Linked DNA regions of Struthio camelus. The protein of the gene in region 2 purifies or fractionates together with the protein of the main gene of each other region. This does not show direct contact. Links are inferred from orthologs where the notes say so. Each region holds a gene or a part of one and is shown on either strand. Other genes may lie near its edges.

What was found. Proteins that work in one complex are often made in the same cells at the same time.
Region 1: the proteins of EGFR (region 2) and PEX19 purify together in Homo sapiens (co-immunoprecipitation; 3 studies listed by BioGRID and IntAct, with this or other methods). This does not show direct contact. The link is inferred for Struthio camelus from reciprocal best matches to the Homo sapiens genes EGFR and PEX19.

Annotation. Positions count from the first base shown.
Region 1 is NC_090971.1:621,045-628,202, forward strand, and holds the start of PEX19 (peroxisomal biogenesis factor 19), read right to left. Parts: upstream 3,011-7,158; 5' UTR 2,943-3,010; coding exon 2,888-2,942; intron 1,993-2,887; coding exon 1,892-1,992; intron 1,659-1,891; coding exon 1,493-1,658; intron 1-1,492. Other genes in the region: Fc receptor-like protein 4, read left to right, coding at 6,250-6,254, 6,517-6,611. UniProt on the Homo sapiens protein: Necessary for early peroxisomal biogenesis. Acts both as a cytosolic chaperone and as an import receptor for peroxisomal membrane proteins (PMPs).
Region 2 is NC_090943.1:60,447,854-60,455,086, forward strand, and holds the start of EGFR (epidermal growth factor receptor), read right to left. Parts: upstream 3,001-7,233; 5' UTR 2,690-3,000; coding exon 2,545-2,689; intron 1-2,544. UniProt on the Homo sapiens protein: Receptor tyrosine kinase binding ligands of the EGF family and activating several signaling cascades to convert extracellular cues into appropriate cellular responses.

The sequences.
Region 1 (7,158 bases), on a different chromosome or scaffold from region 2:
TCATCCTGCGTTGTCCAATGGCCAGAGAAAGAAAACAGCCTCAGATTCGGTCACGGCAGGACTCCTAGGGAAACTGAAACACTGACCTGCCCAGAGTTAAATTAAGACCTTCCCTGCCCAAGTCTGTGGAAAGTCCTCTGGGAGCTCTCCACAGTCCACACTGAAGAAACGCCAGCTGCTGATGCCCTCCGAGAGCCACGTTCATGCATCCCCTCCTGTGAAGGCACACTTTGTCCTGTCTGTTACCAAACAAACCTCTGCCCTGCACAACCGGTGACAACAGCGATTGCTCAACCATCCCAAGGGGCCAAGAAGGATCTTCTGCCCTTTAGCTCATGGTGCAGTGCTAGGCGGCAGGGCAGGGCAATCCAACTGCTACCACGGCACACAGACGACATCCCAGAGTCCAGCATGCCAAACCCTGGCACACGGAGCCAGGAAATCTTACCCTCGGGCAGCATGTGCTGCTCTGCCCGTGCCCTTGGTAACAGACTCCTGGCCCAGCCAGCAGCAGAGTTGGCTGCGAGCCGAGACCTCGACCCTGGGAACGGCTGCTGGGGCCAATGTGGATGTCAGCGTAAGCCTGGCAAGGCAGGATTTATTTTTAAACCGGTCTTGCGCTACCTGAAGAGTTCACCAGGTTGAAACAAGCCTCGTAGTGGTGAAACCAACTGAGCGTTGGACCTGTGGTCCACTAACTGAGGGGTTCGCTGCTTGCTTTAAATCCACTAAGAGGCTGACTGCGTCCAGCCTGCCACGTCCCGGGCACGGGGGAAAGCTCTCAGTGAGTGACATTGGCATGTTGACATGCACTGACATGCATCTCCTTCCCAGGGAGCCCACGAGCGACTTTGGCAGCTGCACAGGTCCACGCATGACCGTCCTGCAAGTGCTTTTCAACACTCCTGGAGTAAACCCAATCTAATTAAGGGAGCATAATTAAGCCCCAAGTGGCTCCACGGTGCTTCTAATTGCAGTCAGACATCCCAGTGACACACAACTTGTTACCAGCCTTCCAGCATAGCTGAGAAGGCTGCTAAGGAAAGGCGGAGGAAGGATCTTGCTTTCACATCCACTTCTCCATATACCCCCAGTGCTAATCATGACAAGACGACGTTCCGATTGAGCCCAAACTTCTCCTGAGGAATCCATGTCACGCAGATTACCTCTGCGTGGCGGGGATTTAGGATGAGCAGGCTCCAAGGGGATGCTCCACAGCTGGGTTAAGGTGGGATCTCCTCTTCCATAGGGACTAAGAGGACAGTCGAAGGAGAAAGGCAGAGAGGCCAAATCCTGAGGGAAGCTCCCTTTGCAAAGTTGGCTTCAGCTGGGATCACTGCAGGCCGAGGGGCTCCCAGGACCCAGGTGGGGTAAGAGTTATCCACAGAAAGCCTCTCCCCGGCAGAGGAGAATCGGGTTCTCAATGGCAGCTGTGGGCTGCCCACAGCCCAGCACCTACTCCCTGCACGCACAGGGGCTCAGCACCACTCACCGACTCTGCCTGCTGCCTCTGACAGCTTCTGAAACTGCTCCACCAAGTGCGGCTCCTCCTCAGCCAGCTCCTTCATGGCTTTCTCAAACTCCGCTGTGGCCTGCGAGGCCAGTTCGCTGTCAAACAAATCCTGGAAAAACTTCTCCTGGGAGGCGAAGAGTGATTCCTGAGGGAAACGGGCACAGTCAGAGCTGTGCCCTGCTCTGGATGCCTGGAAGGGCTGCAGCTGGCAGCGACAGAGCAGCCCCAGGAGATGCTGCTTTCCAACCTCGCAGAGGGCAAATACTGGCCCGTGGCAAAAACAGCCCTGCAACAGGGCTCTTCCCCCCCTTGCCCAGCTCCTCCAGCCCCGGCAAGCCGGCAGCGGCAGAGGGAGGCCACGTCCTGATGGCGTCGCACCTTGGCTGCATCGCTGGGAGACTTTTCGGAGTGGCCAGGGTCTGTGGGGGCAGGCGGCGGTGGGGCGGTGGGCCTGGCCTTCTCGAAGTCGTCGAGGGCACCTGGGGACAGGAGCGGGGCCGGGCCAGGTAAGCGGGGATCCGGCCGAGGACGGTGCGACAAGGGGCAGGGACGGGGGGTCCCGGCTTGTAGCACCCCAAGCAGGGGTTGACCCTGAAACTCCTGGCCCCAGGCAGCATCGGGGTGGGATGCCTGTGGGACAGGCGAGGGGAGGTCTCCCAGCCCCGGGGCATGGCACCACCGCTCTTGGGGCAGCAGAAAGTTGCTGTGGGGTGCGGGCCGCTGCTGCCCCCGACCACCCCCCCCGGCCCCGCTGCTGCCCCCGACCACCCCCCCCCCGGCCCCGCTGCTGCCCCCGACCACCCCCCCCGGCCCCGCTGCTGCCCCCGACCACCCCCCCCCCGGCCCCGCTGCTGCCCCCGACCACCCCCCCCCGGCCCCGCTGCTGCTGCCCCCGACCACCCCCCCCCGGCCCCGCTGCTGTTGCCCCCGACCACCCCCCCCGGCCCCGCTGCTGCTGCCCCCGACCACCCCCCCCGGCCCCGCTGCTGCTGCCCCCGACCACCCCCCCCCGGCCCCGCTGCTGCTGCCCCCGACCACCCCCCCCCGGCCCCGCTGCTGCTGCCCCCGACCACCCCCCCCCCCGGGCCCGCTGCTCCCTCCAACCACCCCCCCCCGGCCCCGCTGCTCCCTCCAACCACCCCCCCCGGCCCCGCTGCTGCCCCCCCCACGACCACCCCCCCGGGCCCTGCTGCTGCTGCCCCCCCCCGACCACCCCCCCCCGGCCCCGCTGCTGCCGCCCCCGACCACCCCCCCCCGGCCCCGCTGCTGCCCCCCCCACGACCACCTCCCCCCCCGGCCCCGCTGCTGCCCCCCCCGACCACCCCCCCAGCCCTAGGCTCCCCCCGGCCCGGGCGCTGCCCCGGCCCCGCTCACTGTCGAGCAACTCGTCCAGCTCCTGGTCCGGGCCCGGGCCCGGCTCCGCCGCCATCTTCGCGCCGCTCCGCCTCCGCCGGAGGGCGGGGCCCGGCCTAGCAAGCTCCGCCCCTGAGGCCCCACGCCCCGCCCCACGCCCCGCCCCACGCCCCGCCCCACGCCCCGCCCCACGCCGTTCCGCGAGCGCCCCCCAGGCGGCGCCGCAGCGCGCTCCCGGCCAGGACGCCCCGCTGCCCCCTGGCGGCGCCGCGCGGAGCTGCAGCGCGGGGCTCCGGCCGGGCCGCGCCGCGCCGCGAGGGGCTTCGCGGTGTCCCCCCCCCCCAACCCCCCCCCATCCCCGGGCAGCCCGTGAGCCGGGCAGCCGCGTCCCCCCCCCCCCCCACCCCGGGCACCGGGGCGCCCGTGAGCCGGGCAGCCGCGTCCCCCCCCCCCATCCCCGGGCAGCCCGTGAGCCGGGCAGCCGCGTCCCCCCCCCCCCCCCCCCCATCCCCGGGCAGCCCGTGAGCCGGGCAGCCGCGTCCCCCCCCCCCATCCCCGGGCAGCCCGTGAGCCGGGCAGCCGCGTCCCCCCCCCCAACCCCGGGCAGCCCGTGAGCCGGGCAGCCGCGTCCCCCCCCCCCCCCCATCCCCGGGCAGCCCGTGAGCCGGGCAGCCGCGTCCCCCCCCGGGCACCGGGGCGCCGCATCCCCTGTGAACGGCAAAGCCACGTCCCCCCCCGAACTGGGGAGCCCCAGGGAGCCGCATCCCCCCGTGAACCGGGCACCCGGGCAGCCGCGTCCCCCCGGCTGGCGAAGCCGCTCCCGCCGGCCCCGGGGGGAGCCGGGGGGGCTGGCAGGACGGGGGGAGCACGTCCCCACAGCAGCTGCCGGGGCCTGGCAAGCTGTGCCCAGCTGTGCCCAGCTGTGCCCATCACGGCTGCCCGCGGCTGCCGCTGCTCGGGGCTGCGGTGGGTTGCCCTCGCTGGGCCGGGCCTGCCCCGTGGGCTTCCTGGGGGAGAGGAAGCCCAGCGGGGTGGGCTGTGGCGTTTCCTGCCTTTGTCTCCCTGCCGCGGGGACCGCAGGGGAAGGACCTTTCCTTCCCCTCCAAGAAAAGGTGCGGGAAGAGGTCTCGGGCTGGGATGCTCGAGCTCTACCCAGCGCCACTCCGCTCGCCATGGCTCTCGCTCTGCTCCTGCCTCTGCTGAGTAAGTGCCATCCCGCTCCCCGCCCGGCCCAAAGCGGCCCTTCGTGGTGCCGCCGAGCTCTCACCGCTCCCCCCGTCTCTCCGCAGCCTGGCTCCAGACCCTGCCGCAGCCCGGGCACCCCGCAGGTAAGGAGGGTGCCGTCCGCCGCGGGGAGCCGCTCGCCCGCCCGCCCGCCCCGCTGCCCGGAGCCTTTCCCTTGCAGACCTCCTGCCAGCCCCTTTCCTGAGCATCCTCCCATCGCACTTCAGCCTGCACGGCTCCAGCCAGGACAAGCTCGTCACCCTGCGGTGCCTGGCTCCCATCACCTCGTCCGTGACCATGTACCGATTTTACTGGCGGTCACAGCCCCAGGGCCCCAAGAAGAACTTCAGGAACGCCTCGTCGCCCACCATCGAAGACAGGGCGCTGCCCGGCGCCTATTCCTGCGTGTACCTGTCGTACAGCAGCCAGGGCTTGACTTCGTCCCTCGAGAGCCCCCCGGCCCTCTTCCCGCCGCCGTGGGACCACCTCCCCCCCGTAGGTTGGGGCTGGCTGGGTGCTGAGCGCCGTGGCAGTGGGTGTCACCGGGCTGGGGCTCCCCCGTCCTTTCCCCTCTCCCCGGCACCTCTGCCCTGGCTGGAGGAGAGGCAGAGGATGGAGTTAATCCTTGGAAAAGCTGGGGGGCACATAAGCCCCTGGCTTTGAGTCCTTCGCTTACCCTGACCCCCACTTTGTCCCCCTGCTCAAATGCCCTCGGGGCTCCCAACGAAGGGCCCCGGGGTGCAGGTACCCAAGGACAACGGGACCGCCGGGGACAGCTGCTCGTCGACTCCAGGCTGCTCCTCGACGGGCACCAGAGGAGGTGAGGGGCCACCACGGAGACCTCCCGTCCCCTCCCCGGAGAGGTCCCCCGTGACGGCCGCGCTCTCTCCCCAGGGCCAGGCCGATCGGCCTCCTGCCGCTGGCACCCGAGGATGAGCCCGGTCTTCGTCGCTGCCGCCCTTGGTTTCCTCCTGCCCCGCTGCTGCTGGTAGCGGCGAGGTAAGCGGCTCCCTCGGGCACCGCATGTGTGAGCATGCACGCTCGTGTGTGTTTGCACTCTCACGGAACAAAACCCAGGCTGTGACCTTGGCCCCACGCCACCGACGGAAATTTGTGTGACTTTACCCTGCGGCGTACCATGCATTTAGCTTTTTACTGGCTCTAGACACATCGGCTCCTTCAAAAAACAAGGGAGCACCTGCAGCAGCGATGCACACGTGTGAAGCGGTTGCTGCTCTGAAGCGGATGGGCAAAACCCCCTCCGCAGATGCGTCGCGTTGGGGCAGTGCTGCCGCAGGAGCCCTTCCCTCCCCTTCCGGCTGCCGCCCTTTCCCTTCGGGGGGGAAACGTTTGGTTTAAAACCTCGTTTGCTTTTTTTCCCCTACCCCTGCCAGACTTCTGCGCTCGCCGCCTGTCGACCCGCCATCACCACCCGGCCACGCGTCTACGGCTTAGCGAGAAACACCGACCGGCAGCGGCTTTCAGAGGTGCTCAGGAAACACACGGCTCCAACCGGACCCTCAGCTTTCTCACATATGTTAATATAATAACCCATTGCATATATATATTCTTTATACAATAACCTGTTGCATAGGTATATCTGATACACAGTAACCCATTGCATAGGTATACGGTATCTATATTAACCTGTTGCAAAGTATTAGCCTGAAAAAGAGGTACTGGAGCCTGCAAGGACGGGGTGGCAAGCCCTGGATCGCTCCATGCCCTGTGCTGCGGAGCCGCAGCGAGGGCTGCGAGCAGGGCGAGCTGTCTGCTTCCAATAAACCTGCTGAGCAAAGAAAAGAGACTGGATTGACCCCTCCAGCAGCACGGTCAGGCTGTCTGCCCGTGCACCCGTGTCCCACGGGGTGACTGTCCCCGCTGGCCCCAGGGGCAGCCGCGGGAACCGCAGAGGGGGAGCCTGGGGGCTCTCCTTCTTTTTCACTGTTTGCTGAGAATCGGGGGCTGCACAACACAGCTCGCTTCAGTTCTCACCAGATCATTTGCTTATCAAAGCATCTGCAAGTGATCAGACACACGTGGGTGACAGAGGACATGTTACGGTCACTGCGCACGACCCGGCAGAGCCGGTGCTGGGAACCTGTCCAAGAGGTGCTGCATCACTCAGAGACCGTTTCGCCCAGCTGCCCAGCCCGGAGATGGGGTTAGCAGCTCCAAACCCTCTGTCGGCTCCTGTCGCCCCTTGGCTCAATGCTGGCCACGTGCGGGAAGACCTGAGCACCCGGCCCCCTGCTGCCGCCAGCCACATCTCTGCGCCGGCTCGGTGGCGACAAGCAGCTGGCACCCACAAAGGCCCATCCCGAGCCCCTGGGTGCTGCTCGCTGTGTTGTCCTGGCCACTGAGGATGGGGGAAATGCCCCAGGGGGGGGAGCACAAGCCACTTCCTTTTCCTTTTCTCCAAATAGCAGTTATGCAAAGGGGAGGTGGCCCAGCGTCAGCAGCCGGCCGGGCGAGTCGGAGCCGGCCGGGATGGCGAGGAGCGCGGCTCTGCTCCTCTGGGGTAAGTCCTGGCGGGATCGGGGCCGGAGGCCGGGGGAGACGAGGCGTCCGGCGGGGCCACGCGCGCCCGCGGGGCGACGGGTGCTGGAGAGGAGAGCGCGGGCGGAAACCCTGCTCCCGCACCTCGCCGCCGCACCAGCCCGCTGGCGGTCCCGAGCGCCGCGGCGGCGGTGAGCGCGCTCTCCTTCTGGCCTCCTCGTCCCCTCGCCGGCCTTCCCCGTCCCCGGGCACAAGCTCGAGGCGCAAACGGGACGCGGTGCCACCCGGCGGAGCCGGCGCTTAGGTGCCGAGGCGGCGAGGAGGCTGCAAAGAGGAGCTGGGCGCAGGGCCGGGGCCCCAGCCCCCCTGCCCCGCGGCCCCTCCGGCAGCCCCCTCCCCTCCGCGCTCGGAGAGGGGCTGTGGCTGCCTGCTGGGCGCAAAGCCGGAGTCGGGGTCTGGCCGTTCCCGGCTGCCCTGCCCGCGGTCGGGCGCCCGGGCTGCCCCCTCTCCCGCGCCGCCGGCGGGCAGACGAGCCCCGAGCGGAGCGGGCCGGCGGGGCGGCGAGCCGT
Region 2 (7,233 bases):
TACCCTTAAGGAATCTACTTTCCCTTTGTTTTTCAAAAAGCAGTATAAAGCATTAGGTACAAAAAGGCACCAGAGAACTTTTGCAGCTACGGAGCTGCCCAGCGCGTTTGCACGCATGCTCCCAGCATACAGCAGTGCGCTCCTGGCCCACAGTGGCTGTAACTACAGATCCAAGCGAACGATAAAAAAACCCCAACAAAAACCATTTTGCTTCAATCGCAGTGTTATCACTGAGCACTGACACACAAAACGGACATTGGTCATGTGCATTCTGCAATAAGCAGCATGCCTGCTATCACAGGTATTTATCTTAGGTACCACTTAACAGGCCATCCTGAGTACATGAAAGGAAATCCAGATTAGTTCCACTATTATTAATCTGGGTCAACATTAGAGCATATACAGCAGGTATTGATGCTTGTGAGTGTTATTTCAATTTCTAACACCACCACTTGCTTTTGGATATATTTTTTTAATATCTTAATGACTAGGGTGTTACAGCTAAACTAGTTTTCTCTCATCCATATTCAAAGATCTCATTCTAAAGTTTTGGGAAAAGACACAACTGTATTTAAATTTCCATTCAAATATTATATTGATCAGATTTTATGGGGCGATTTTGACATTCTTCTGACAAGAATAACATTTGTGCACCAGCACTATTTCTTTGAGGTATCTCCTCTTTTGGGCAATAGAATGAATCAGGCTGAAATTATGTAGTTTCAAAAAGTATGAATTCCTATGTCATTTGAACTTCCTGTAGCAACAGAATTTTATCTTGTAGCTTGTCAGCACGGCACAGGTTTGTTACAGCATGTTTACTTTCAAAATAATGCCAAATTCTGATGCTGGGATCCTATCGCTTGACCCAGGAGGTAGAGTCTAGACATATGTGGATGGTCCACTACCTGTGGTATCTCATCACTCTCAAATGCAACTTGATTATGTACCACTGACTTACTTTCTTGCTGAAGTAGGGAGCAATAAAGACCAATCAATTAATTCAGGCTTCTTGAAGACTTTGTTCTGCCTTCATCTTTGTCATTGAGCTGCAAGTTCTTCTCATACAGTTATTTACTAACAGAACATACTGAGAATAAACTCTAGCGGGTTTATCACTTGGCTGTTGGCTATCCAGCAATCCTCAAATAACCGGTACCCTCATCATATTATGAGATACAGTATCAAGCACTATAAACAAGATATTCCTCCTCAGAATCTACATATTCTACAGGGCATACGCACCTGAGATTGCATTTCAAAAGACTTAGCACAAGCTCAGCAGAGGGAGTCAGCTTGCTTCCCATCATTTTCAAAGAGCGTAAGAAAAAAAGAAAAGAAGGAAAGAAAAACTGCCTGCATTACATCAACAACAGGTATGAACTTGATTGCTGGAACAAGAGAATCTCTTGACTTTTTTAAGGTTGTGCAACTAGCGCTTTAGAAAGGTATGTTTCCGTCCACAGTCATGAAAGACTAATTCAGTTGTTTTAAGCCATGCAGCCTTTCCAGAAACTATTAATTCCCTTCTCCCGCTTTATATTTAAAAAGAAAGAAAGGGAAAAAAAATCTGCTTTTTTCACTACTGGCAGATTTCCAAGATAAAGACGACTGCACTCTGCCTGGAACAGCAGTCGGGGCCTGCTCTTGAAACTCACAAAAGGGAACACCACACACAGAGAAAAAGCGACGGATCTGATCAGCCAGAAACGTTTTCTCACCCTCTAAACCAGTTTCTCCAAAAAGGAAAAAAGAAAACGGCGAGCCGGCGGCAGCCCGCTCCGCGCCGTTCCCACGCACCGCGGAGCCGGGCGGTCACGCCGCGGCGGGACGAGGGAGGGCCGGCCAGGTCGGGCCGGGAGGGACCGGGATAAATAACTCCTATTTAACCGGCAGAAACAGAAAGAACATGAAGTTTTCCCTGTTTCTACCTTCCTTCCCCCCTCCCCCCGCCCGCCCGCCCAGGTGCGGATCTTTTTGCGGGACGAGCAGCGACGCCAGGTCAAGGCGACCGACCCGACGGCGGGCGGGGGCTGCCGGAGCGGTACTCGCAGGGGGGCGGCGCGGCCGCGCAGCCCCCGCGCCGCTCCGCGGGGTCCGGCCCCGGCGGGGGGCGGCAGCACGGGGCGGTGCGGTGCGGAGCGGGGCCCGGCGGCCGCCCCGCGGCTGAGCCAGGGCGGCCCGGAGCGCGCTCCGCGGAGCGATTGGGCAACGCGGGAAGGGGATTGGGGGGGGGGGAAGAGAAAAGCAAAGGGGGGGGGAAAGGCAAAGGAGGAAAAAAAGTACAACCGATGGGATGTGCCAAGGTTTATTCCCTTTTATTTCCTCCACCCCCACAAAAGAAAATAAGCCTAGAATCAGGAAGTCAGACTGCGTGATCGCTGCTATAGGTTTGCTTTTTTTTTCTTTCTTTCTTCTCCCTCCTCCTCTCTCTCCCTTTTTTTTTTTTTTTTTAAAGGAAAGAAGTTGGGACTTTCCCTGCGCCGCTCCCAAGGGGAGGCAGCGGCGCGCCCGCCCCCGGGGCGCCCCCGGCGCGGCCCGTACCTTTCTTCTCCTCCACGACGGAGCAGTGGGCGACGCGCCCCAGCAGTAGCAGCAGCAGCAGCAGCAGCAGCGGCGGCGGCGGCAGCAGCACCGGGACAGCGGCCCCGCGGGGCCCGGCGGCGGCGGCGGCGCTGCGGCCGCCCATGCTGCGGGACGGCCGCTCCCGCGGTGCGGCGCGGCGCGGTTGGAGCGCACGGAGAAGCTTTCCGCGGAGCTGCCCCGCTCCTGCCGCGGCCGCGCTCAGCCCCGCTCCGCGGCTGCTCCCCGCAGCATGCCGCGCCGTCGAGGGCTGCGCGCACACGTGCGTGCCCGCTGCCTGCCTGCCTGCCTTCCTCTCCTGCTTCCTCCTCCTCCTCCTCGTCGTCCTCGGCAGCGACGGGTGCGCGGGGTGGCGGAGCGGCTGGCGCCGGCTGCGGGACGGGGCGCGCCCGGCTGCGCTCTCCGCCCGGCCGCGGAGCGCAGCGGCTCCCTCTGGGGACGCCGCGGAGGAGGAGGAGGAGGAGGATGGGGCGGGAGCAAGGAGGAGGAGGAGGAACCGGCGGCGCCTTCCCCGCCCAGGTGGGGAAGGGCGGCCCCGCCACCTGTGCCGCGGTGGGGGGGCGAGGGCAGGGGGCGGCCCCGCTCCGCGCCCTTGGCGCTGGCAGCGAGCAGTCGCTCCGCGGAGGAAGTTACTGAGCAAACAGGCTGAGGGACACAAGTGTTCCCCGGGGGCTCCGGCGAAATTCACGGACACGAAGCAAAAGCGCCTATGCGGACTTCTCCTCCCTCCTTCCCCACCCCCCAACCCCGTCCCAGGAGGGCAAAGCACGCTGTTCAGTATTTAGTGGTATATGCTTGTGGTTAGAGCGTCTTGGTTTTAACCCAACACCTTTCCCCAAAACCGGGAGGAAGCAGCGTCTCGTCAGACAGGCGTGTAAATCGGGACGCAGAAGTGGCACTCGTCCCGGCCGGGATCTCCCCGAGTCAAGTCAGTCTGCTGCCACCTCCTGAGTCAACCTCCAGATTTGTTAAATGCTGTTGCTAATTTCTTCATAACGCTCTTGCGAAGACTGAGGTCTTCAGTCACATAGGCAATAGGATAGGAAGCCCAGGAACTGCTATGATTAATTGGGAACTCCAGCACCGAGGTCCGTAATGACACAGGGTTTGGGAGATGATGTGCTAAATGCCTCTGTCTATCACAACGTGTTGGAACACAATAGATTGCAAAAGAGCCACTGAGTGTATCTTGACTTTCCCCGATGATGCATGTTTTGTGCTGCATTACTGTTCTCCTGCCAGGCAACTTCCTCTGCACTATCTTTTCCTGATAGTTTAACTACTTCCTGACCCAACTAGACATAGAAAAACTGTCCCATTTACTTATATTAGCACAAAAAACATGCTTGAGCAGAGGCCTTTAACCATGTGTCCCATCACACCTGTAATGATTTATTAAGATAAACTGGGTTACAACTGAGTTTCTCGCCGTGCAGCTTTTGCATGCTATAGCTGACAATCTGTTTTGATTGTATTTTGTAAATGATGCAAAGAAGTTCTTTGAAGTAAATTCATGCATTGGTAACATGGGAGCAACTCTACTCATGTGATTGGTTTCATGGCTGTAACTGATGCCGGCATTTGATCTATCAATACAACATTCATGCTGTTTCCTTCAAAGATGCTCATACAGTGCAGCCTCATAACTATTACATGTATACAATTGATTTTCATTTATTTGGACAAATAGGAGGGTTTTTAAAAATTACATGCCCAGGAAAATAAATCAGCTTCTCAGGAGGGAGGGCTGCAAAAGCAACCTCAAAAAATGTTAAAGATTGCAGCTTTCATTATAAGGACGTACAATTAAGACACAATAGAAACAAACCTCAAATCAGTGCTGTAGACAAATATTAAATAAAAACATGTGTCTTTAAATATATTATATCAAGACACAACTGTTGAAAGCAATGGAGTTTTTTACATTTGAGAAAGGAAAGTTCAGAGTGATATCACCAGAGTGATAACGGAAAAATGAGCTCAAGACAGGAAAAAAACCCCATCTCTGATGTATGAATTGAATGGAAAAACTTGTCAAAGTCCAGTCCTAACATACTAACGTACAAATATTTTTGCTGAAGAATTTTTCATGCAATTGTGATTCTACCTGCCATTCTGAGCAGGAATCTGTCATACTCACTTTGCCTCCCATCATGAGCTGTCCTTATGTGACTCCATGTAAAACTGAACATGATGGGCAAGGGAAGACTCAGCAAATTCCCCTTTAAATTCTTCCCCACCCTCTAAAAATTCACTATAGGAAAATCTAGTCTGATGCTGGCATTGCAGTACCACTGACGGGGCTGTGCAGCAAGCTGCCATCACTTTTGTCTTCCCACCTGTTTGAGCCCAAATGTGTTATTTTCATGACATTTGTCCTCTACTTGTGAGAGTCACAAGATAACGTAGGGACTGTAAGACCCGAGGACTTGGATGCTTATGATCACGGTCGAGTCTTTCAAGCCTTCTGCTGTTTCCTATTTACACAAGTGAACAATTTCTGGAACAGTTTAAATTTAAATATGACATTTTCCCAAAAAGCTGGTCACGTACCCAGTGATTGCATTTGATATAACTCCTTTGAGGCTAATGTCACTACGCAAATTTGAGCATGGGCATGCAATATTCCTTCGCGTTGCAAAACTTTAAATACCAGCTGCATGTGTGCATGAATCTACGGCCACGAAACAAAGGTCGACCTTTCGACAACTAGCGTTAAATTAATATTACCTAGTGAGAATATCATACTAAACGCAAAATCTTTCTTCGGCTTTTCTGGGACTCACTTGCTTTGTATTGTATACTTATCTTCCAGATATGAAGCATAAACGCACTGACATAGGAAGTAAAGTCCAGCTAAAGAGAAAGTTCCTTCACATGCGGATACTGCTGGATGGGAGAGCAGAACCGCGACTGCTCCCCAGCTGCGGCCCGTGCTGCTGAGCTGGTCTCTCCGCCACGCGCGGAGAGCAGGAGCCAACAGAGGGAGAGCCACTGACTGCCCTACTGGTGGAAAAAGTGGGAAAAGTGGGATCAATTTTCCTGTCCCCCCCTTCCACATTCTCTCAAAACAGAATAAAGTCTCAAAATCCTTTCAAGAGCAAAGTCGTCCCTGCAGCTTGATTTCTTCCTTGAATAAAACCAAAAAAGGATAGATTTTAATTATCCACTGATAAACGGGGCATTTGCCCCTCCAAAATAATTCATAAGCAACTGCTCGCGGATGGCACTGCTGTTCTTTCCTGCGTTTTGCACAAGTGATTTTAAAGGGCAGGCCTCTTCTCGGAAGAAAAGAAATGAGACAGAGCTGAATTAGCAGGGCTTTTAAATCTGGCTTGCTCAGGTTTCATTTGCATGGTATTTGAGATTGCGGACATTGTAGTTTGCGTTGCAGTTTGTATTCTAAGAGTCCTCACTGAGGTAATAATTCTTTGAGCTTTATGGCATGACATGTTCAAAACATTGCATAAACATTAACTAATTTATCTTCACAAATCTCCTGTAAGGCAGGTTAGTATCTATCATTTCCATTTTATAGATGTAAAATAATTTGCCTTGGGCGGAGTATTAGTGGCAGTACTGGGGTTATCACTCAAGAGCTGCTTATTCCAGCTATTGTGTTTGAATCTCCCCAGATCAGGCTGCTGCTAGAGAACTTCCCTGATGAAAATGTAGATTTTTTTTGTTTAAATACTCCGATTCTTGCTCTCTTCCACTGTTTGTTTGTACAGTGGTGTGTAAAGGACGAGACAGATACACACACGGATGCTGGAGTTAAACCTTAATTACAGTAAGTTCCACCATCAATCCATCCAGTATTTCAACACGTGACCGTAGCATTATCTCAGGAGAGTTCTTACACTTTTATTATTATTATCATTTTTACACCCAGGTTTTACCTGTCACCTCAGTTTCCTTAGTCAGTGTCAATGCTGCATTTTCCAGGGAAGCTTTGCCTCACTCAGAAACAGATTTTTAAATGTTTTAAACTGTGAATAGGGATCTGCAGCACCAGCTTATTCACTAACTGAGGTAGGCAACAGAAAAGTAAATATAAGAATAACAATTGGCACACGTGGAGTAAACGATCTGCAAGATCTTTTCTACTAAGCATCACAGTAGCTTCCTGTGTAGAAACAAGCTTCTGGCTTATTTCTGTACTTTGCTAGGGTGACTTACACGGATACTACTGTGCTGCCTTAACTCTCTTTCTCAACCACAAATCATACATCTCTATATGACTGCATGGAATAAGATCTGAACATGCTGTCGGTACATCTCATGTCACTGGAAGCATCGCTACCATTGCCAGTTCACACCGCATAATTTTCCAAGACGGGCAACTATTAATAGCAGGTGCCCGGCTATTAACACAAATACTGCTGCTTGCGTTACTCTCACTGTACATCCTGCACTGGCAAACAAGGAGCTTTATACCTCTGCTCATCTAATTCCTGCCCCAGCCAAGCAGGCTGCCATAGCCCAGGTGCTCCTAGACATAACGAAAGAGAAGGGACATGGGGCATGGGGACATGCCCCAAGCTTTGCTTGGGGGAGAGGAAGAGTGCCCCAAAGCTGAGCTCAGGTGTGCCGGGCACACGTATCCTGCCTGGTCCCCTGCCCACTCAACTCAGCTCTTGTATCTGTCCC